Kluyveromyces lactis: one gene and its partners. The protein of the gene in region 7 purifies or fractionates together with the protein of the main gene of each other region. This does not show direct contact. Links are inferred from orthologs where the notes say so. Each region holds a gene or a part of one and is shown on either strand. Other genes may lie near its edges.

Evidence for each region.
Region 1: the proteins of CEF1 (region 7) and CDC40 purify together in Saccharomyces cerevisiae (affinity purification with mass spectrometry; 5 studies listed by BioGRID, with this or other methods). This does not show direct contact. The link is inferred for Kluyveromyces lactis from reciprocal best matches to the Saccharomyces cerevisiae genes CEF1 and CDC40.
Region 2: the proteins of CEF1 (region 7) and SMB1 purify together in Saccharomyces cerevisiae (affinity purification with mass spectrometry; 4 studies listed by BioGRID, with this or other methods). This does not show direct contact. The link is inferred for Kluyveromyces lactis from reciprocal best matches to the Saccharomyces cerevisiae genes CEF1 and SMB1.
Region 3: the proteins of CEF1 (region 7) and ECM2 purify together in Saccharomyces cerevisiae (affinity purification with mass spectrometry; 5 studies listed by BioGRID, with this or other methods). This does not show direct contact. The link is inferred for Kluyveromyces lactis from reciprocal best matches to the Saccharomyces cerevisiae genes CEF1 and ECM2.
Region 4: the proteins of CEF1 (region 7) and PRP22 purify together in Saccharomyces cerevisiae (affinity purification with mass spectrometry; 4 studies listed by BioGRID). This does not show direct contact. The link is inferred for Kluyveromyces lactis from reciprocal best matches to the Saccharomyces cerevisiae genes CEF1 and PRP22.
Region 5: the proteins of CEF1 (region 7) and SMX3 purify together in Saccharomyces cerevisiae (affinity purification with mass spectrometry; 3 studies listed by BioGRID, with this or other methods). This does not show direct contact. The link is inferred for Kluyveromyces lactis from reciprocal best matches to the Saccharomyces cerevisiae genes CEF1 and SMX3.
Region 6: the proteins of CEF1 (region 7) and RSE1 purify together in Saccharomyces cerevisiae (affinity purification with mass spectrometry; 4 studies listed by BioGRID). This does not show direct contact. The link is inferred for Kluyveromyces lactis from reciprocal best matches to the Saccharomyces cerevisiae genes CEF1 and RSE1.

What each region holds. Positions count from the first base shown.
Region 1 is NC_006041.1:1,891,190-1,894,313, reverse strand, and holds CDC40 (Cdc40p), read right to left. Parts: upstream 1,791-3,124; coding exon 501-1,790; downstream 1-500. Other genes in the region: proteasome regulatory particle base subunit RPT5, read left to right, coding at 1-410; pre-rRNA-processing protein ESF1, read right to left, coding at 2,117-3,124. UniProt on the Saccharomyces cerevisiae protein: May function in the second step of pre-mRNA splicing. Regulatory protein involved in replication and mitotic spindle formation and/or maintenance. Required for initiation and completion of S-phase and for initiation and completion of DNA replication.
Region 2 is NC_006038.1:48,023-50,496, forward strand, and holds SMB1 (mRNA splicing protein SMB1), read right to left. Parts: upstream 1,077-2,474; coding exon 501-1,076; downstream 1-500. Other genes in the region: CHZ1 (Chz1p), read left to right, coding at 1,513-2,031; Rab family GTPase YPT31, read right to left, coding at 2,371-2,474. UniProt on the Saccharomyces cerevisiae protein: Plays a role in pre-mRNA splicing as a core component of the spliceosomal U1, U2, U4 and U5 small nuclear ribonucleoproteins (snRNPs), the building blocks of the spliceosome.
Region 3 is NC_006042.1:1,698,947-1,701,842, forward strand, and holds ECM2 (Pre-mRNA-splicing factor ECM2), read right to left. Parts: upstream 1,410-2,896; coding exon 501-1,409; downstream 1-500. Other genes in the region: KLLA0_F18480g (uncharacterized protein), read right to left, coding at 1-234; KLLA0_F18524g (uncharacterized protein), read right to left, coding at 2,552-2,896. UniProt on the Saccharomyces cerevisiae protein: Involved in pre-mRNA splicing. Facilitates the cooperative formation of U2/U6 helix II in association with stem II in the spliceosome. Binds to RNA.
Region 4 is NC_006038.1:1,021,127-1,025,196, reverse strand, and holds the start of PRP22 (DEAH-box ATP-dependent RNA helicase PRP22), read left to right. Parts: upstream 1-1,270; coding exon 1,271-4,070. Other genes in the region: PRE1 (proteasome core particle subunit beta 4), read left to right, coding at 345-932.
Region 5 is NC_006041.1:436,436-438,668, reverse strand, and holds SMX3 (mRNA splicing protein SMX3), read right to left. Parts: upstream 951-2,233; coding exon 948-950; intron 837-947; coding exon 501-836; downstream 1-500. Other genes in the region: GPI-anchor transamidase subunit GAB1, read right to left, coding at 1,270-2,233. UniProt on the Saccharomyces cerevisiae protein: Plays a role in pre-mRNA splicing as a core component of the spliceosomal U1, U2, U4 and U5 small nuclear ribonucleoproteins (snRNPs), the building blocks of the spliceosome.
Region 6 is NC_006037.1:720,992-725,016, reverse strand, and holds the start of RSE1 (U2 snRNP complex subunit RSE1), read right to left. Parts: upstream 2,801-4,025; coding exon 1-2,800. UniProt on the Saccharomyces cerevisiae protein: Involved in G2/M transition. Required for pre-mRNA splicing and endoplasmic reticulum (ER) to Golgi secretion pathway. U2 snRNPs associated protein required for the pre-spliceosome assembly.
Region 7 is NC_006039.1:634,851-638,429, forward strand, and holds CEF1 (Cef1p), read right to left. Parts: upstream 2,133-3,579; coding exon 501-2,132; downstream 1-500. Other genes in the region: CAF20 (Caf20p), read right to left, coding at 1-288; EFR3 (Efr3p), read left to right, coding at 2,779-3,579. UniProt on the Saccharomyces cerevisiae protein: Involved in pre-mRNA splicing and cell cycle control.

The DNA of each region.
Region 1 (3,124 bases), on a different chromosome or scaffold from region 7:
GAGAAGTACAAAGAACAATGTTAGAGTTGCTAAATCAATTGGATGGATTTGGCTCTGATGATCGGGTTAAGGTGTTGGCTGCTACCAATCGTGTTGATGTTCTAGATCCGGCCTTATTAAGATCTGGTAGACTTGATAGAAAAATAGAATTCCCACTCCCTACAGAAGATGCAAGAGCTCAAATTCTACAGATTCATTCCAGAAAAATGACAACTGATGATTCTATCAATTGGCAAGAACTCGCTAGATCTACAGATGAATTCAATGGTGCTCAATTGAAAGCCGTTAGTGTCGAAGCTGGTATGATCGCATTAAGAAACGCTCAATCAACAATCAAGCACGAAGATTTCGTTGAGGCTATCGGTGAAGTACAGGCAAGAAAGTCTAAATCCGTTTCCTTTTATGCATGATTTATATGTAATCATTAAGTATATCTACATAACCTTATCGAAGGTTGTGCCGAAACCAAGAATAATGTCTCAAAGAATCTCAATTCTTCATTAGTCCAGAATGGCAATTTTTCCGGTATTACCAGCGCAACATAACTTACTTGTCTCTTGAGGATTCCATTCAATACAGGTTACTGGCAGGTTATTTGAAAATGGCTTAAATTTCTTTAACAATTTGGTAGTTTTCCAATCCCAGATGAACGTCTGACCTTTAGAGTCTCCAGATGCAATGTATTGGCCATCAGGAGAAAATGCAAAATGAATACCATAACCTGTAGTATTATGACCTTTGAATGTCTTGTTTGGGTGTCTTTTATACTTTGGTAACATTGAGTACGTATAGATGGTGTTGTCCATACTTTGTGTACAGAAAGACTGACCCTGTGGATTAATATCGATCCATGGCATAGAATGTTGTGCTGTGCCACTGATTTGTTTAATAGGAATATTGATTCGGTTCTCCCAAATTCTGACCGTTTTATCTTCTGACGACGAGATTAACTTCTTACCATCAGGGAAGTACTTTAGTGCCAAAATAGAACCCTGATGATGATCATATTTCTGTACTTCCCCATGGTTTTCTGATAGCCTCAAGTCATAGTGCCGTATTTCGGAGTTGGATAATCCTACCACTAGTTGGTTCTTGTCTTTTGGGTGGAATGTAATACAGTTCGGTACAGAGTTGAAACGCAATCTTTTATCAATTATACCTTTTTCGGTGTTCCAGATCTTAACCCATTTATCAAATGATGCACTGGCAAAAGAATGTCCATTATCTGTAAAGTTCAAATCCTTTATAGTCATAGAGTGACCTTCATACGTTCTTAATAGTTCTCTCTCATGATAAAAGTCCCATAGTTTTATTATGTTGTCGTTACCGCCTGAAAGTAAGAGATGTCCTGTTTTCGGTATGAATCGTAATGATGTAGTACCATTCTTATGCCCATAGTATTCTGCTATCTTGGTTTTCGGAAGGAAGCACCTGAATGATAGTGGTTCTTTCTTGAATTCTAATGGAATATCTACTGGGGGGTGTAAAATGCATCTTCCCAGATAGTCTTTTTCAGTACTGCCTACAAATTTCGTTCTTTCAAGTGATTGTGATGCCACTGCATCCTCATCACCACCTAAATCTAAGGAATTAGAAGCATTTGAATCCTTTGATAATTGTTCGATCTCATCGTCACTAGATCCTTGCCATTTTGCCCATGGTCCTTTCCCGTTCCTCCTAAGTCTTTTGGACTTCAATTCAGCCTTTGATGTTTTTAACGATCTCTTAGGCACAGCTACAGATGAGCCATCATCACTACTCTCACTTTCATAACCCTGTACCAGCCCCATTATTCCCTGGATATTATGGCAGTGGCAGAGTCTATCTAGTAAGTTTATCGGTTTGTCCGTGTATTACCTACAATTTTAGATAATCTTTAGAAAGATGAACCTATTTCATATAATGTGATAATGTGCACTTTTTCTTTTTGTTCACACACAGAATATGACGTACAAATCTGGATAAATAAGGAAATGACTTAAAGTTACAGACCATGCCATGATACAGTCGCATGATTAAGTGAAATGATGTATTTATGCTTTAATCAAATGCTGAATATATACATATAAGATGTGGACGTCTTTGGGTTGATATAAAGTGTCCACAAGTTTGCAAATTAGTGTTTTGTTCTTTTGTTCTTGGCCTTAAGTTTTTCAACTAAACCGCCGATCTTATTTATGTCTTTACTATGTTCAGTATTTGCAATTTCGTGGTTACGCTTTTTGCCCCTAGATTTTTTGCTTGAACGTACTGTACGTTCCTTTAAAATCTTCTCCATAGCTGGTGTCTTCTTGAACTCTGGTTGAGTAGGATCAATCGCGAAATCGTGATCTTCAAAGACCTCTTTAAATCTTGGATCATTAACGTCTGGAGTGAATTCATCATCCACAATCTTCTCCTTGTTTTGATACTTGGCCTTTTTGGATTTTTCCTTCTCAGATTTGAGAATCTCATTCATGTTGAAGTGTGCCTTGTTGTTAATTGTTGATTCACCCTCATTTTCATCTAGCATTAAGAGCTCTAACTCTCCCTTTTTCTTATCGTCATCGATGCTGTGAGAAGTATCTTTCTTCTTCTTAAGGTTCTCCTTTAATTTGGCTTCTGATTCCTTCTTAAGCTCCTTGACTCTGTCCTTTCTCTTCTTACGTCTTTCTTTTTCTTTACGTCTAATCTTATCAATGGTGCTTTCCTCTTCGTTATCATTGGTATCTTGTTGGCCAGACTCATCCAGGCCTGGAGTGAAAGTTATTTCCATATCAGCCTCATTATCGTCTTCATCTTCCTTTTGATCAAATAGTGACTTTTGCCCCACTTTTACGGAATCCATTACTAAAGCCTTGAGTTTATTTTTAACTTGATCATCATGCTCAACTTCAGATTCTTCACTATCGGAGGCTAAATAAGCTTTAAAGTCCATTTCTTCAATTTCTTTTTGAGTGAATGCTCTTTTAGATATTTCCACACGGTCTGCAGGAGTTTCATCCCATGTAAGCTTTACCTTGGAATGCTGAAGGGCATCTGTACTGAATTGTGCCGGCTTGTAATTTTTTGGAAGCGAGGTACATTCATCACGAGGATCATCATCCATTTCCATACCATCAGGCACATACCTTAAATCAAAGAC
Region 2 (2,474 bases), on a different chromosome or scaffold from region 7:
TTCCTATAAAAAAAACACACACTCATGATATCGTGGCATGCGATATATTTGTTGTTTTTGCGAAACTTGCAAACTCTAATTCTTGCCCGTTCTCAGCTGAGAGATATTCCGCACCATGATTGTCCAGTTGGAAGCCATATTTAACACATAACATTTCTTTTGTCCGCAGGGCTATGGTGGGGTCATGGGGTATATCTGGAGGTTTCGTATAGGCATTTGGTGGGGTGGTTGAAAAGGGAATGAGGTGGATAATCATATTTCGCACAGGCTTTTAACGTTGCGCAGTACAGGGATATCATTACACTGGATAAAGCTAGATAAATTCTATATCTTCTTGTTCTAGTCGTTACAGTGGGATATCCAAAGTCCTCTGCGTGTACGTAAGAGGTAACTAAAGACATATCTATCAACATGTCTCGGATAATTATAGCTAAGATCGGTGATCGTAGCACCAAAACAATTTTTTTTATATCAATAAGTATGACAAGTTGTTCGCTGGTTTAGTTTCTTTTTTTGAAGCCTGGAGGGGCTTGGAACCGGCTGGGGCGTACCTGACTATTAGAATTAAACCTACTGGGAGCTCCAGAATTCGTATTGATAGGTTTATGACTTGGCTTCGTAACTCTATTTGAACTTTCTGAGTTAGTTGAAGTTATATTAGATCCATTCGTTCCAACGTTCATCTTGTTAGAAGTCTTCCCTTGACGAGCCTTTTTCGCATTATCTAATTTTTTTGCATTCTTCTTCTGGACTTCGATTCGTTCCTTCTTAGAGAGTTGGGGAGGTGACTCAACCGAGGTACTCAACACATGCTCACCCCGTAAAATTATTAGTCCAAAAGTCCTTCTTTCGACTTGCACATTGCTTGACAAGTTTCCTCCACTTTTAAGTACTTCTATGATTTGTTTATGAGGCATGCGTTCCTCTACACAATCTCCCATTACAAGGTTCATATATGCATCAAAAGCCATAAGTTGGCCAATATAAACCCTTCCGTCATGGGTAGCGACTCGTATTCTATAATCTATCAAATCTGATAGCTTCGTTTCCTTCTTTTTAACTTCAACTTGCGACATCGTCCTTGTATCTTTTGTATGATATGCTTAGAGATATAACTATTCTTCTTGGTGAACAAAGAAAGTGAAAAAGACTGTAAACTCGATTGTAAGAGGTATCCTTATATCATGCACAAAAAAGCGGTCCGTAGCAGTGATTCTTTATAGGACCAACGCAAGTTACTCATTGATCGTGAAACTAGTTAATGTTTTAATTTTCGATACAACATGATAGTTAGAATTCATCCACTATGCGGCTATGAAAAAAAATGATCACGTGGAAAATTATGTTTCTTTGGGATTTGAGATAATATGAATTATATTTGGTTCGCAAGATGCGAAAAGGAAACAAATACTGGTAAGCATCTTTAGATCAAAAAAAGCATTGCGTGAGCCTAGGTCGTACTCCTCGAACATCAGCACACTAATCATATCAACAGATACAAAGTTTGCAAATATGGCTGAAGAAATTAAGGATAAGCAAGAATTTCAAATAGGTGCAGAAGAGCCTGACTCTTCCAACGTTGCTTCACAAGCTAAAAGAAGTGCTGAAAGTGAGCTTGCTTCTACCGCTGATGCCAACGATAAGAAATCTAAAAAGAAGAGAAGAAGAAGAAACTATGATGATTTGGATGAAAAAATTGCTCAAGAAGACAAGGCATCTGCTACTTCTGGTGCTAACAAGGAAGAAGATAGTGAAAGTGAAGTCGATGACGAAAAATTAGATCAAATGATGGTAAAAGAAGATGAAGAAGAAGACGACCTTTCAGAAATCGATAGTTCCAATATTATAACTACTGGTAGGAGAACTCGTGGTAAGATTATTGATTATAAAAAGACTGCCGAGAAATTGGAAAAAAATGGTGAGGTTGGCAAGGATGATGATGATGATGAAGACGATGAAGAAAATGACGAAGAGTTCAAGGATCCAGCTGCTCCTGCCCCTGCCCCTGCTAGTCCGACTGAACCCAAATAGAAATTTGAATTAAAAATTTACTCAAGCGCATATAAAAGTTTGTAGTTTCACTAAATCTCCATGTTTGACATTATGGTAGTGTTTCATTTAAAAGAACAATGGATACGACGCAATGAACTGAGAAGGTATTTTGCAGTTAAGAAGTTTCAGGATGTCCTTCCAAACAGCTAGTATTTGCATAATTATGGCAGTCAATGTTATATACATAAAACAAGTGTCTAACTTAATCGGGATAAATGTCCCAGTCGATGATAATTCTGCTTCCCTTTTTCTTTCCGGGGCTTATACTTTCTATATAAACACCCTATAAGGAATGACCATAATACACGTTTAGAATTCCTAACAGCAGTTGTTTGTACTCTTTTTGTGTTTTTCGTTTGGTGCCGGTGTCAAAGAGATCGTAGGTCCCTTTGGAGCGTTGGCATTGTTTCCTGAGGCGTCAT
Region 3 (2,896 bases), on a different chromosome or scaffold from region 7:
AACGAATATCAAAGCAATGGATAGGAAACGTACATTAAAACCAGATTTTTGGACTGCTTCTTGTGGCATCTGAGTCGGCGAGTCTAGAACATGCATTTGGAAACTGTCTACATCTTCGTACGCATATGTGGGACTGCCAATGAGCTCAGCTGAGAACATTGGCCAAAGAACCATTTCGTACAATTGATTAAATGCGAATAGAAAAGAGTAAAACAAAACTCCAAGTGAATTCATAAGTAGCGAATGTAATAATATTTGATGTTAGAAAGTCTTCGGAAAAAGCAAAACCGAATTGATGGTCACACAGAGAGCTCTGGAAAATAGCAAATATTTTATGAATGCATTGGTGATTTCAGATACACAATCGACCGTATGCTTATATTTATATTAAAATACGACTTTCAAGTGACATAAAAGAATGACAGCCTGTATTTACACCACACGTAAGGCTGTCACAACAAAATTGTGTTTCTTGAGAAAAATTTCAATTGAACCCTCCGTCACAAATCCAGTGTGTGTCTGCGACGTGAAGACTTAGACTTAGTATGTAAATCGGATTTAGATCCCGATTTTGGTTTGCCCTTTTTCTTACCAGGTTCCGTACCTATTATTTTGGCATCTTTTGTAATAATTTTCTGTACCAAACGATCCCATTCTGGTTCTGAGTTCACATTATTGACATCAAAATCATCTGATAGACAAGATGTTATATGGATTCTATTTCCTTTCATCAGAAGGTAACATTTCTCCACGGTGGGTCCCACTTTAAACTTTGGTAGTATCGATATTAATTTTTGTGTCCACAAATCCGGATCTTGTTTGAATGTTAAAGTTGCGATCCTAAGTTTCGAATTCAATTTCAATGACGTATTCTCACGCTCCAAATTATTATTAGTAGCGACTATTAGCTGGGAAACAATCTGAGACTCTGTCAGATTAGGGTCTATATTGTATAGGAAAAATGTATCCTTGGTATCGTTGACATTGGAGTTAAACGGCAGTTCTCGAACTCTCCACTTCCGAATGGATTCTGCTTGTTTCAATTTATCTATATTCAACGGTGCTACTTGTTTTGAGCTTAGTCCAATGAACCTTTTCATCATATCATTCTTCGGAATCACTGAATCCGCATTCTCGTTCAACAATTGTTTCATCGAATTCCTTAAATGCATCGGTATTCCATGTTCGAAGTCGTTCAAACAAACTTGACATATCAGATTCTTCGTAGCACATTTAGGACAGCATATGGTATGAAAAGTTGTGTGGTTTATTGTGTACGAGTATGAATCGAATGGGAAGGTACAAAACTTACATTCTCTACCATTGGGGTATCTTATCAAAGTTGGGGTGTTTTCCCCTAATGGCAAACACCGTTCGCAAATCTTCAACTCCCCAGTATCCTGACTCATGTTCACCTGCTCGTTGTGCTCTGCTGGCAGTGCCACCGATGACAAGATCAACGAACTCGACTTATATTAATCAGATTTCTTTGATAACATCTCATCGCATTGGTACTATTTTTTTTCAAATTTCTTTTCATTCTTTCCATAGTGAAAGTATTACCTTGCAATATGCAGCGGATACTTAATTACAAAAGAGAGATGAGCTTTACTAAGAGTTATAAGAATACGCACATAGAATATTAGAGAAAGTGCGATCTAGCAGAATGTAAAAGGATCAGGGTTAAAAAGCTATGTCAAAATAAGGATTCCTCATGAGTTGATCGGTTGAAGAAATTCATGTTGTTGTTGTTAGGTGTATCATCATAAAAAGTTTACTGTATTCTGCTTTCTCGACACTTTCTCTTAGTTGCAAGTATATAGATTAGAAGAAGGTAAGATTTCCATTGATCGCAGTGAGCAATGAAAATATATCGAGGCCTCTCGATATTTGTATCCTTGGTGTCTTTCGGAACTGCTACTGAGTATAATAAAAGTAAAAAACTGGTTATCATCAAGTAACCTTGAGTCTAACTTACAGTGACAGGAGGTCTCTCTCTTTTATACCTGTTGGTAAAAATTTTCTTGGGCCTGAAATTAACAAATGACACCCATACACTACATAATGAAATATCCGGGTAACAATATATGCTCTAGTGCTTATTTGGCACACCAAGCTCAAGAAACGGTACAATTTTGTATGGACCATATAGATTGTGAAGGTTCAACATCAGCCATGAATTAGGGCAAAGCGTGTTATATAATTACACAAAAACTATTTAGAGAACTAAATGCCAAAACGTTTTTGATACGTAAGATATAAAGAGAGCAAAGGCAAATTCATAGTGACGAGAGGTCAAATTTCTTAGTCTAATTATATGTGAGGTTTAACTAAACTTAAGGTTGGTAATTACCTAAAAAGAGGATACCATGGAAGATTTTAATGGTCCAAATTTCAAGTAAGAATGATGGATCACTACAACAAAACATAGAGAGAGTATTTGCTGTGGTGATGATGCAAGCAGTACACGTTTGGGTATAATACACAAGGGAGAAAACTTTATGAGGATTTTTTTTGTTTAATTGGTTTTAATCTGTATCCTTTGGAAGCGTCATGGTATCAAGCTCCGCGTATTTATTGAAGGCTGTTGTTCCTCGGGCATTGGGTTATTCTTGAAATGGGTTCTGTAATGTTGTATATAATTATCGTGCCTTGAGAATCGTTGATTACAACCGGGGAACTGACATTGATGACGCTTCTCTCCGGTATGAATTCTGTTGTGACGGGCAAGGTGACCTGATGTAGTGAACCCTCTGGAGCAAATCTTACAGATGTATTTTCTCCTTTCAGCTAATGGCAAGTCTTTAGTGTTCGACTGTTTACCTGTGTTGGAGATTTTATGCTGTTGACTTGCCTTTGGTTTACGGTCTTGCCGACTAGACCTTTTACTTTTCGA
Region 4 (4,070 bases), on a different chromosome or scaffold from region 7:
TATATTTACAAATAAGAACAATACCTATTTATCGATACTACCTGAAACAAAACAGTAAAATAAAAAACATTCAACAAGTGTATTCTTAGTTACTATCACCCCACAATTGGCGCCTAGCTTGGGCTTCATTCCTGCGAATAAAACGCTTTGTCTGTTTCTCTCTCTGTGTATTGTCACCTTTCATACAGTGGAAAACCTTTAAATGATGTTTGAAAATGTTTAACTAAAATACAATTGACAAAAAGAACATACACTTACGGTGGCAAACCTTTATCAGGGAGGAAACAGGGAAATATAGGGTCTATCGACAGTGAAAAGAGTCAAAGTTTATACTAAATCTCCCAATGGATGTTCTATTAGGTATAAGAGTCAAGGATTCGGTGATATTGGCCTCTTCAAAGGCTGTAACTAGGGGTATTTCAATTTTGAAAGATTCAGATGACAAGACCAGACAATTACTCCCTCACACACTAATGTCGTTCTCTGGTGAAGCTGGTGATACAGTACAGTTTGCTGAATATATCCAGGCTAATATGCAATTGTATTTGATTAGAGAAAATTATGAATTGTCTCCTCATGCGGCATCGAGTTTTGTTAGAACAGAATTGGCTAAATCCCTAAGATCGAGGAAACCATTCCAAGTTAACGTATTAATCGGTGGTTATGATACCAAGAATGAGAAAGCAGAGTTGTACCAGATAGATTATCTAGGTACTAAGGTAGAATTACCATACGCTGCCCACGGTTACGCTGGTTTCTACACATTCTCTCTATTGGATCGTCATTACAGAGAGGATTTAACAGTAGATGAAGCCTTAGGTTTATTGAAGCAATGTGTACAAGAGCTAGAGCTAAGAATGCCAGTTGATTTCAAGGGGGTTATTGTAAAAATCGTGGATAAGGATGGTGTTAGGGTCGTTGACGACTTTTAGTGCAATCTTTCTAACCAGAATCAAGTACATACACATATTTACATCTTTTGTATAAACAAAACTCAAAGTAATATCTTATCTCAGAAATACCCAAGAGTCAAAAGCATTTTAAGTTTGGAGGTGTCGCTGGTAGATTAGCGTGTATCGATTTGTCTTCTCTCTCTTTTTGACGTTGATCAATATACAATTTTGAGATTTATTGACTTTATTGTAAACCATCTTATCTCATCTCATCTCAACAAAACATGAAAAAAAGGATAGGCAACATCACTGCAACAGCTTCGTCTGATCTGTCCTTTCTAGTACCTACCTAAGTTAAGGTTGCTGCTGCGAATAGCATGTCTGATGTCAAGAAGGAGATATGCAAAGTACTCGGTTTAGATGATGAGATAGTCGCTGATTTTATCATCAACATAAATAAGAACTGTACCACGAAGAATGAGTTTAAGAAAAAACTGTTGGAGATGGATCAGGATTTGAGTGCCGCTGTTGTGTCCGACATTTATGATGTGGTGAACAAGACTGCTGGAAGCACAGCAGCCACAAGGGTTAAGACTCTTCTTGCTGAGCAGCTTGATGTTCACGATGATGTTGTCACCAATTTCATTATGGACATTTGCAGTAAGAGCGAAACGTTGCTCAAATTCCGGGCAAAATTGAAAGAAATGGAGGCTGGTGTATCGGATAGTCTAGCTCTTCGTATTTTCAACATTGTTCATTCCTCAAATGTGGCTGTCAAAACGGAAATCGAGGATACAAAGTCTGCACTTTCCTTACCCAACACTACTGTTTCTTGGGAAGGAATCGAAGAAAAAGCTTCCAACAAATCAAGATTTAGGAAGAATGAAACGGTTGATCCAGAACCTGTGCTTGATAAAGTGTATCCTGGAAAGGTACAGAACGTCACAAAATTCGGATGTTTTGTGAGAATTTTTGGGGTAAGAAATACTAATGTCGACGGTCTTGTGCATGTATCGGAACTTAGTTCATCGCATGTTGATAAGCCAGAAGACGTGGTACACAGAAACCAAGATGTGTTCGTGAAAGTTATAAAGATACAGAATAATGGCAAAATATCACTTGCTATGAAAGGCATTGATCAGAGTACTGGAATGGAAGCGGCAACTCGGGGAAGAACCAAAGAAAAGGTGATTCCTAAGCGAAAATTAACTTCACCAGAACGATGGGAAATAAGACAACTTATCTCAAGTGGTGCCGCTTCAATCGAAGACTATCCTGAGCTAAAAGATGACTATAATATAAGTCAACCTACGAACTCTGAAGCAGATGGCACCAACGAACAAAAAGAAGAAGAAGAACTTGAAGTTGAGATAAATGTCGATGATGAGCCCAAATTTCTAAAAGGACAAGTTAAACCAGACAGAAAATACGAATTACCATCTATAACTAAGGTTCCAAAGGGATCGTTGAATAGATCAGCCATGGTAGGTTCATACACGATGAAAGAACATAGAGAAGAGAAGCTTAAACGGAAGAAAGAGGTAAAAAAACAGCTTAACAAAAGTAAACAATTGGCTGATCCCAGTAGTAGTAAAGTTCTGTCTAATTCAGAGTTTGATGCAAGGCAATTAGTTGCTACAGCTTGGGAAAGGAGCAGAATGAAAGAGCGTGTATCCTACGGAAAAAGGACATCTCTTCCAATCAAAGAACAGAGGGAAAGATTACCAGTGTATCGAATGCGTCAACAACTTATCGACGCAGTTATTAAGAATCAGTTCTTAGTTATTGTAGGGGAAACAGGCTCAGGTAAAACAACTCAATTAACTCAGTATCTGGATGAAGAAGGCCTGAGTAACAAGGGAATGATTGGATGTACCCAACCTCGGAGAGTTGCGGCAGTTTCTGTGGCCAAAAGAGTTGCCGAAGAAATGGGATGTAACGTCGGTGAAGAAGTCGGTTACACAATTAGATTTGAAGACGAGACCTCATCAAGAACCAGAATCAAATACTTAACCGATGGTATGATGCAAAGAGAAGCGTTACTGGATCCCTTGATGTCCCGTTACTCTGTTATTCTTCTTGACGAAGCTCATGAAAGAACAGTAGCTACTGATGTTCTTTTCGCGCTATTGAAGAAAGCGGCCTTGCAAAGACCTGATTTAAAGGTCATTATTACTTCTGCCACCTTAGATTCCGATAAATTTTCGAAATACTTCATGAACTGCCCGGTAATCGAAATCCCAGGGAAAACTTTCCCCGTAGAAGTATTATACTCAAGCAAACCTCAAATGGACTACATAGAAAGTGCTCTTGACACAACTATGGATATACATATCAACGAGCCCCAGGGTGATGTTTTGGTCTTTCTAACTGGTCAAGAAGAAATTGACACTTGTTGTGAGATATTGTACGAAAGAGTGAAAGCTTTGGACGGCACAATTCCAGAACTTATTATTTTACCAGTTTATTCGGCACTTCCTAGTGAAATTCAATCAAGAATTTTCGAGCCTACTCCGAAGGGCTCTAGGAAAGTGATATTTGCCACGAATATTGCTGAAACATCCATCACCATTGATGGGGTTTACTATGTCATCGATCCAGGCTTTTCTAAAATAAATACGTACAATCCACGAGTTGGTATGGAACAACTTCTCGTGTCTCCAATTTCGCAAGCCCAAGCCAATCAGAGAAAGGGAAGAGCAGGTAGAACAGGCCCTGGCAAATGTTTTAGGCTTTATACCGAATCTGCTTTTAAAAATGAAATGCTTCCTAATACTGTCCCAGAAATTCAAAGGCAGAATTTAGAGCATACAATATTGATGCTTAAAGCCATGGGTATCAATGATCTTTTGAACTTCGAGTTCATGGATCCACCTCCCAAGTCCTTCATGGTATCTGCGCTCGAAGAACTTTTCAATTTGCAAGCCTTAGACGAAGAAGGGTTTTTAACAACATTGGGGAAAAGAATGTCGCAGTTTCCAATGGAACCTGGGCTCTCCAAAACATTGCTTGCATCTGTCACCAATAAGTGCTCTGATGAAATGTTGACAATAGTGGCCATGCTTTCCATTCAGAACGTATTTTATAGACCTAAAGATAAACAACAGGAGGCAGATAACAGAAAGGCAAGGTTCCACCATCCATATGGCGACCATCTAACTCTTTTAAACGTATTCA
Region 5 (2,233 bases), on a different chromosome or scaffold from region 7:
AATGCTGCCACTCCATTTCATATAGAAGATGTTATAGATAAAAACCTTAAGAATGAAGCGGTGGCTCAATGGTAGAGCTTTCGACTCCAGTTAAATCCTGGAAATTTCTATGGAAACAAAATTGCAATCGAAGGGTTGCAGGTTCAATTCCTGTCCGTTTCATTTTTGCATTTTTTTTGGAAATCACTACCCCAACTCAACTGGAAAACTAGTAAGCAATAAGAAATCCATGGTGGCTGGAACAGCTGTTACACCGTGAACGAGACCTTCTTGGAATGAAAAACATAAGGTATTAATCTCTAGAGATTTTTTTAGAATGAGCCTTTGAATTGTAAAACCTACATAAACTATACTATCATTAATTATACTAATACTAATATTCCCTTTATTAAGATAAGCAGTTCCCTAATTCTATTACAACTGAGGAAAGCTATACAGTGAATCCATAATTATTCCGATGTTTCCTTGTTTGCTTCAATAATATTCAGACTAGTGCTATATTAATTCGCTTCTTCTGCGAGTTCTCCATTTTCCTCTTTATCGTCAGATTTCTCTGTTGTTCCAGTCGGCGTAGGGGGTTGATCACTTTGCTTGTTCACATCCTCTCCTACGTATAGCACGTTATTACATCTGATGAAAATGTCCCCAACTTTCCCACTTGAGACATCATTTATGATCTCTTCCGCATCTGTTAGTTGTAGATTGAAATATGTATCTACCGATACAAGTCTTCCTTTATATTGTATTTTATTGAATTTGAGTGTCACCAGCACATCTTTGTCTATCAATTGATGTAAAAAGGGTTTAGGGTTAATTGGTTTGAATTCCTCTGGATCCTGCAACGTTTAAATTGGTTAGTAAGGTGACAAAATCTGTGGATTCATCGATCGCAGATGGACATAATCGTCCTAGCTGCGACCAAAAAAGTATGGAACAAGAAAACTTACCATTTCAATACGTTAATGCGCGGGTGTTCTGATATGTATCGATTACACGATATAATTCGAGAATCTGTTAAAGGTTTTATTACGTCTGTTGGTTGCTACGTAATGTTTTCGTTGTCTATCTTTTTGCAATACTGTATTTTCATGTTTTTCAATATGGCATGGAAATATTAGATGCCCTACCAAGGGAACAAATAAAACAAACCAAAGTAGTCCGGACAGTTTTCAAAAGTTTTTATGCCATGCACTGGGTAAGTCATACTTAGATATATATTAAATAATGACAATACGATATGTTTCTTCCAACAGAAGGAACAGGGTTCATTCAAATTTGAGTCAGTTTTAATGAAAGGTTTGGTTTACCTGAATCGTATTCAATTCTTAACATGGCCCACGTCAAATCCACAATCACTGACGAGATGGCTAACGCATAAACCAAAGAAATGGCATAGAAAAAGTTACTATTACCGGAGCCTAATCCAATCCATAGGTAGTAGAAGATTGGTGACAAAATGATGGCATGAATGAATAAAAGGGTTGATATGACTGGATATCTTAGATACCCAAAGATCGGTTTGAAAAATGGGATAAAACTTAAGAAAAACCCTCCGTCACCTAACGTTGGGTATGATTTGGTGAGCGTAATCCAACCTAGACATAGAACAAATGCGTAAAACGATTGCTGATTGAATCTAATAGTGAAAGGTGGGATAAATGAAACAACAAATATGTTGAACACAGATTTGAAAAATGGGATGAAAAATTCGAACATTTCAATAAAGAAATACCACCACAACCCTAGATTTGGCCTTATCTTACTGAAAGTAATCAATATCCAGTATGTTGAAGTCAAATAGTTCCAGTTATCGTTATTTAACTTGAAACTGATCAACTGCAAAACAATCGATACCAATGTACACTTGACAACAAGGCCGAAAGAATTTGATCCACAGATTCCTGCCAATGGGATCAACAGTAGATAAGCGTAAGGTGATAAATAACCAGCCAACGCAATGCATATGGCTGACAGTGAGAACTGTCTAGATAACGCAAATAGTAAAGAAGTAGAAATGGAAAGGTTCACAAATAGACATGTCGATTGTGAGACACATGATAAAAGTACCAAAGGGTTCACTGCATAAACCACACCTGGAATATAACTAGGAATTTGCAATTGGCGTTGATATATCTTAGCTATTTGCATCAATTGATACGCTATTAGAGTGTCCATGGCCGCAAACAAAACGGGCATTAGAAACTCCGCTTGTTGAACGAATGCCATTAAAGCT
Region 6 (4,025 bases), on a different chromosome or scaffold from region 7:
TAGATATGACAATATATTTAACATTTGTACCGAAATTGCAACTACAGACAGCATTAAAGACCTCTTTAGCAATAATCACGACCGTATTCCCATTGTTTGTTGCCAATAGCTTATCATCGCGAATAGCTGATAGACTGGTTTCTTTATTAGCTGTCTTTGAAATAACATATGATAACGAATTGTCCGTTGTATCTGAAAGGATCCGTTGTGATTGATAACCAACGATTTCGTACTTCTCACTTGCATCTTCATCCTCATCTTCATCCTCATCTTCATCCTCTTCTTCATTGCCAGCGTTTTTAAGTTCGTCATTAACAAGGGTATACTTTTTCTCATTGAACCAGTTACTCCAGGACAAAAAGTTATCTAATTTGCCGATTAGGAGTTGCCCTTTGCTGGTTATGGAACAGCAGCCGTTGCGCTTGATATCATCCGTGATAAAAGCATTTATATGTTTCAAGGTTATCCCCTCATCTGTTTTCAAAGGACGTAATGTGATTTTATCATCAATTTCGTAAGTTACCCAAGATATGCTTGAATTCAATACCACTAGTGGAGTGAAATCCGAAATCTTCTTCTTGAAATCGTCTATTTTTGAATCATTTTCTCCAGGTTCATCATCATCATCATCTTTGTGATTGATATCTATATTGTCCAAGAGATTTACCTGGACGGGCTTCGTTCCGACAAATCTAGTACGTACATCGAACACTGTGCCATCATTGATATTGAGTTTAGATGACAGATAAACACCACTTTTCATACCTACGTGGATCTTAAGATCCGACGTGTCCCGCATGAAAAGTAGAGAGTGCGGTTTTGATATTAGTGACTGAATAGCACAGATAGTGAAAAAATCTGGATGTTTACTCTGTAAGTTGAGAATCTGCAGACTAGAATCTTCACATCCTAATACACAATAGCCTGACTTTTGACCGGCGAGCAATGCAATAGAATTCACTGTAGAATCCATCTCCACTCGATCCTGTAATTCGTTTAACGAATCTTCTATGATTTCAAAATAGCATATTTCATGATTTGTTAAAGCGACAACTAACTGTGTCTCATTACAAAATGCTGTCACGATGCCAACACCAGCTGGTGGATACCATTCAAGTTTTTTGGTGTATGGACCATCATGCATTTCAATAATTTGTAAAAGACAATCCCGAGTAACTTGAATAATACTTCTTTGAACCATAGCGCCAACAAACAATGATGGTTTGTTCAAAATAAATGGGTTTGAATCTCCACCAAAATCTTCGACAGTTCCCTCATGGATCTTCAAGATGGTCGTTGAGGTTTCCATAGAAAGAAATATCAGACTGTGAGTTTCGTTTTTAGGAATTCTAACGGTCCAAAGTTTTGATGGTATTCTAGGTAATGTAGTTGATATAAGTTCTTCAAAATCAACCGCAGAAGTCAATTTAACAAGATTCTCAGTTTGATTGGCTGCAGCCAATATCGTGAGTGGTGTCGAATTTGATGCATGAAATGACGTCAAGGGATTTAAAGAAGTTAAGGAGTCAAGAATGGATAGGTTTTTCAAAGTGGACTCTGTTTCAATAAATGATCTCCTTCCCGGGGTATAAGATGTAATTTTTTCTAGATCTTCACCAAGACTTTCGAACTGTGTTAAATAAGAGGTCCCGAATTCTGATACGTTGAAAAGAGCACCTGACTTGAAAATGTGGATGTCTTCAGAAGTGGGGAGTGTATCAAAGTATGCAATTTCAAGAACTGGCGCCTTAGTTTCTTCATCAGGGATAATTCCGACCTTGTACATATCTCCGTGGTTAGACTGCATTAGGATGAAAAAATCTTTCTTCAATTTATGAATAGTACCGTTGATGATATTAGTTGACGAAACAGTTTTTCTGACGGGGAGTTGAACAGACACTTCATAAAAGCCTTCTAAGTCTATCAGAGTCAAGTATCCATCATAACCACAAATAACAAATGGATTTACCGAATCTTGATCAGTTTCATCATTCGGTCTAGTTTTAATCTTATACTGTTGTAAATTTGGGCATTGCATAACGAAATTGATGGATTTATCCTCTAAAAGATGCTCTTTCCGGAGTAGCAACGTGTTAAGACCCAAATCCATTGTATAAAAAGACAAATAGTAATCATTTGTCCCAGATTCTACCTCTATGGCAGCATTCACCGGATTATCAAAACTTACATCACAAGCTGCCGATGCCAAAGTGATTCTATCACTTCGTTGAATCTCTATAGGAGAACCAACAACCAATTTCCCACGTTGCCAGTCAGCCAACACGCACATCTTTGAACGCTCAATCCCACTGAAAAATACACATCTACTCTGTGGATCCGAAACCATTTGATATTGAGGTACAAACCTTCTGATCCCAGATCTGGAAATCGGTTCGTTTGCCAAAGTACGCACGTACACTTTCCCGCTCACGGAATCCCTCTCAAACTGCCAAAATGTTAAATTCCCAGAATCAGTTATCAACACCAAAATCGTATGTGAACATCTATCCATATTCAACTTGGTCATAGAAAGAATAGTAGCTGCTATAGGCCATTTACCCAACGCATCCAATGTTCCATTGCTAACATCGTACAATTCGACACAATCCTGTGTAGCTAGACATAATTGCAGTTCCTTCCGCTTCTTCGATGACCTCGGTCCCTTAACACTTGTTGTATCAGCTTCTGCTGTCGCTAATGATGATCTATCCAAAGTAAAATCACCGATGCAGGAATGAACGTAGTTCCTATGTCGTTGTAAAACAGTGTGCCATAGCAACACTTCAGAGTCCTGAGTCATCCGATCTTCGTTAGCGGGTAACTAAACACACGCTTCAGACGATGATCAGAGGTGTATACTGATGGTAATCAGTAGTGTTGTTCGTCAACTTGCACTCAAGAAGTGCGCTGTTGTTAGTTACTTTGTTTACTTTCAGATTTGGTTTTTTGCCGCCCTTATGAAGAAGTTAGGAAATACTATTTCAAAAACTTACACGTGACCAACAAATCCCAAAAAGTCAACAACATGTTACCCTGACATCACGTCACACGAAAAGATGCGATCACGTGACCAGAATGACATGAGACTCCACATTGTTTCGGAAAAACTTCTGTTGGAGCAGGAGCGAAGTGCTCGTTCAAAGCGGAATAAGAAAACACAGAAACATACGCAAAGGCTGTTTATCGCTCCATATGGACGGAAAAACTTACGATGAAGAGAGCGTACAGGCATGCTTGTACGTTGAGAAAGAAAGGCACACAGTCATTGTTTTAATCCATTACGAGATCAGCATGTAATTCGATACTACTTGTTCCCTTACCGGCACTGGCTCTGGCACTGGTGTCGTTAAACGGTATCACGTTTTGGTAACCCCACAAATGTGCACCTGATGGTGCAGAAACGTAAATATGGTTCACCAAGTTCAAAGCACAAGGCGTATTACGCTACTAACTCTAAGTAGGTGTTTCTCTTCTTCAGAAAAGAAAAACACCGTATGAGGATTCAAATGCCATAGCTTGACTGGTAGACACTCTGTATTGGTTTTTTTGACTTTCTCTTCTGGTCAGAGGAGCAAGTATGAGAAAACTCTTTGTCTGTCTCTACACGTTGATTTATACATTGTTACTGGGGAAATATTAATCGGCCGCATACAGATATCGGGTGGACTCATATTGGCAGATCAGCTCTGTGTGTGTGTTTATTTTTTTCTTCTTCCTCTCTGTGTGTCCGTTCCTTTTCACCAGGAAAAACCTTAATAATATATAATAACGGAAACATGACATATGCTAAAACTTGGTAAGTACGAAATGTTTTCTTCTAGGATAAAAGGCTGAACTCTAGAGTGTAATTTACTACACCAAAGCAAATTTGCCATCCGAACCAACCAGAGACGGTATAAGGTTAAGATCAGATTACAACAAAGCAGTGCTAGTTACTATACTCAGTACTTTTTCAAGATTTATCAGAGAGGAAGGCGAATATTTCCGGTTTTGTGGGAAAATTAACATCAATAACCAATAGCAAA
Region 7 (3,579 bases):
GGTTGGTTCTTCTTCTTCAGCCACAGACTTTCTTCTGACCGCTGGAGCAGTTTCTAGTGTAGACCATCCTTCCTCATCGGTAGTAATTTTTGGTTTCAAATGCTTGAATTTTGGTTTAGCATGGTGGTGAGAAGATCTTCTTCTGAAGTGAGAAAATTCTTCTTCATGTGCTTCTTGGATTTCTTTCACTTTTTCAATTATAGCGTTGAATTCATCAACGTCGAAGTTTGGTTTAACTGGTTCGGTTGGTCTTAATTGTAAAAGTTCTTCTTCTGTGTACCTGATCATCGTGGCCCGGGAATTAGTATTTGCTTTGTGATGGCTTCGAAAGAGTTCCAGTAGAAATAAAGGGGAGAATTGTTATGTCCACACAGAGCAATTGCTAACTGTCTCATATTGTTCTTAAAGTTTGCAATTTCGTAAATCTTTTCATCTTTAAGTTCATAATTTGAAAATTTCATGATTATGGAAGGAAGACTCAAAAAGAAGGGTCCGGGTAATCATTGACTACGCTGGGCAAGTTTGATCTGTTCCGCAAGAGATTGTGTCTCTTCTTGCATAGTCTTATGGTCGTTCCTGTACTTCATGTAGTCAGTGTAGTATTGGTATGCTAAGCCTGACACTGTCGGATGTAGTTTTTCTTCAAAATCTTGTGAAAGTTGTGAAACAGCCTCTCTGTGAGACTTGACGGAATCCTCAAGCGCTGTTCGCAGTTCATGCACTTTTCGTTCCATGCCGAGCAGTTCGTGCTCCGTAGCCGGTGTTATAGTTTTTAAGCTAGTTTCCAACTTGGGATGTAAGACAGTGCTGGGCACTTCGGTGGTGGATGCAGAATTAATGATCTCTTCTAAGTAATTGTTTACTTCCGTGGAATTGTAAATGGGGTTACCATTCTCCTTTGCTGAGATTATACGATTCAATTCACGGTCAATTTCATTCTTTGGATCTACTATCGGACTGGGTACCTGTAATTCTGTTTTTATTTGGAATACTGTCGGTATGTATTCCATTATTTCCATTGCCTTGTTTTCCGATTGATGTTCCGTGGAAGATATTAAGGCTTCTAGGGGATATTTACCATTAACATACGAACTTTCAGTATTAAAAGCATCAGTGGATTCCATTTCTTCATCTAAATCATCCAATACAATTTCAAAATCGTTCTTAGGAGAAGGCAATGATTCAAATAAATGAAGTATAGATGTTGTTTTGTTTATCTTCCGTTTTGATCCTTTTAAAGTAGCAGGAGTAAGCTCAAGTTTAGGTTTCTTGTACTCATCAGTTAGTACAGAATCTAATTTTGTTACTGATGACGTTATTTGTTCGCCTTGCCTTCTCTTTTGTGGTATGGTTTTCTTTTCATCAGATTTCCTGTCAAGTAAACCTTTCCTTTCTACCAATTTCTCAAAACTCTTGAGTAGCTTCTCAGTCTGTTCATCCTCCTTTGAGGTATCGTATATACCCGGTAGTGGTTGCTGTTCATACGCAATATCCTCGTTGTAATCCATCTGCGAAGAATATTTCTTCCTGGGAGCTTTGATTTTACTATCAACGCCCGCTTGTTTCAACTCTCTACGCTTCTGTAAGAATGCAACACGCTTACTTTCTTCTAGCATACGTTCTCTTATCTTACGAGTAGCCTTTTTACCCTGAGTGTTTAATAGCCTGGCACGAGCTTCCGCCAACATTTCTCTCTCCTCGTCAAGTAGCTCATCTTTATCAGCCTTGGCTGGTAAGCTTTCGTTATTTGGGTTGATCTCACCGATCTGTACCCCTGTAGTTGCTGCAAGCTCTAAATCATCCTTATCAATCGCCAGGAGGATATTATATCTGTCGATACATGTTTGAGCAGGTCTACCCATCATTTCTCCGATGCTTTTCCATTGGTTTGGAATTCTTTTCGCTAAATCTAGTAGTTTATCATCTTCCTGCTGGCTGAATGGTTTGAAGTTTAGACTGGGATTCAAAAATTCATTCCAACGAGATTGACATTGCCTGGCATTCTTCTTCTGTAGAAGCGAAGCTACTTTACTCCATGCATGTGTTCCATATTTTTGAACAGCCGCCTTTAATATTTGATCCTCAAGGTTCGTCCAAATACCACCTTTGACATAAATCGGAACAGGAGCCATCGTACGTGGTTACCGCCTTTGATTAACTTCCCTTTGAACCAACGTTACAGCTTTAGCTGATACTATTATTAATTAGTTTCCTATGTTTCCACCAAGTATATGTCAATTTTATTTTCAATCCAATCCCAAAATTGGATTATCTAGATTTACACAGTGTTATAAAGAAATAAAACAATGTCAGCGAATAAAGAGGGAACTGTATCCGAACACATAGTTTACATATTGCTTTACTCGCAAGAGCATAGGTACCTTTTTCGTATTATTTCAGCAATGCTGGATACTGGTTTCTTTTGTGACTTCCTCCAGTCAGTACTTCGGTCTTTAAACTACCTATATTTTATTAGAATACAACAAACTCTGAAATTCTTTCAGAAAACACATGACAGATAATGAGAAAGTATATGTTGTTCTTCTCTTATTAAATAATGATCATCATTAACATTATTATGTTCTTTTTCAGCTATAGTTTTTCTAGTTCCCTTGTTTATATAATGATTGGCTCTCTATTACGCAATAAAAACTGGAAAAGGGTTTTTTGTTCGAAGACATTTTTTAAACTTAGAAATTGCATACTATATTGAAATCGCCAACACTATTGATGGTTCGACGATAAAACCCATCCAAAAGACTCCAACGATCCGTGTCAATGGGCTTTCTCTTCACCCCTAAGCACCAGAAATTGGTGAATCAGTGTTATCCACCAGGCCGAACTCCCGATAAGAAGCCAAAAGGGTCAGAGACTTCGTACTTGTTATATTATGTTAATTCGAGACGTCCAAAATTGGAAAAGGTCAGCAGTTACCTTGTGAAGAGGTCGACAACGGATTTGAACAGAAGACGTTCCGGTAATGTCTCTGTCACTCTAGAGCTACTGGCTAAAATCGTCGAGAATTGTAATGAAAACATGAATATTTTCATCAAAGATTTCATCCACATTATGACTTTAGTGTTGAACAACAACAATTTTAACAATGATCCAACTATTGTTGGTTTGATTGAAAGAGTTTTAGAAGCTATTTGTAACCATTTGGATGGGTCTCTTGTAAGTGGGGACTCTGAGTTTTTAGAATTGTTCAAAAACTTCGTAACCCTGTACTTCAAAGTTGCTAACACTAAACTTAATGACACAGATTTGGTTTTGAAAGGTTGCTTAGACTTTTCAAAGATCTCAAACTTGGGAAGCATTCACCAATGGTCTGCTACAGCCAAAAACTGCGTTTCTATTGCATTAACGAAGTTCCAAGAAAGGCATCCAATATATAGTGAGGCTACCATTGACTCTTCATTTTCTGAACCAGGTTCTCCAGCGTTGAAGAAGAAACTCACTAGAACACAAACTAAAGTGATGGGTCTAGATGATGTTTCGAACACAGGGGATTATTCAATTCTGGCTTTGAATACTTTTTTCAATACCACAGAAACAGATAAGTTGACAATCGGTTTACAT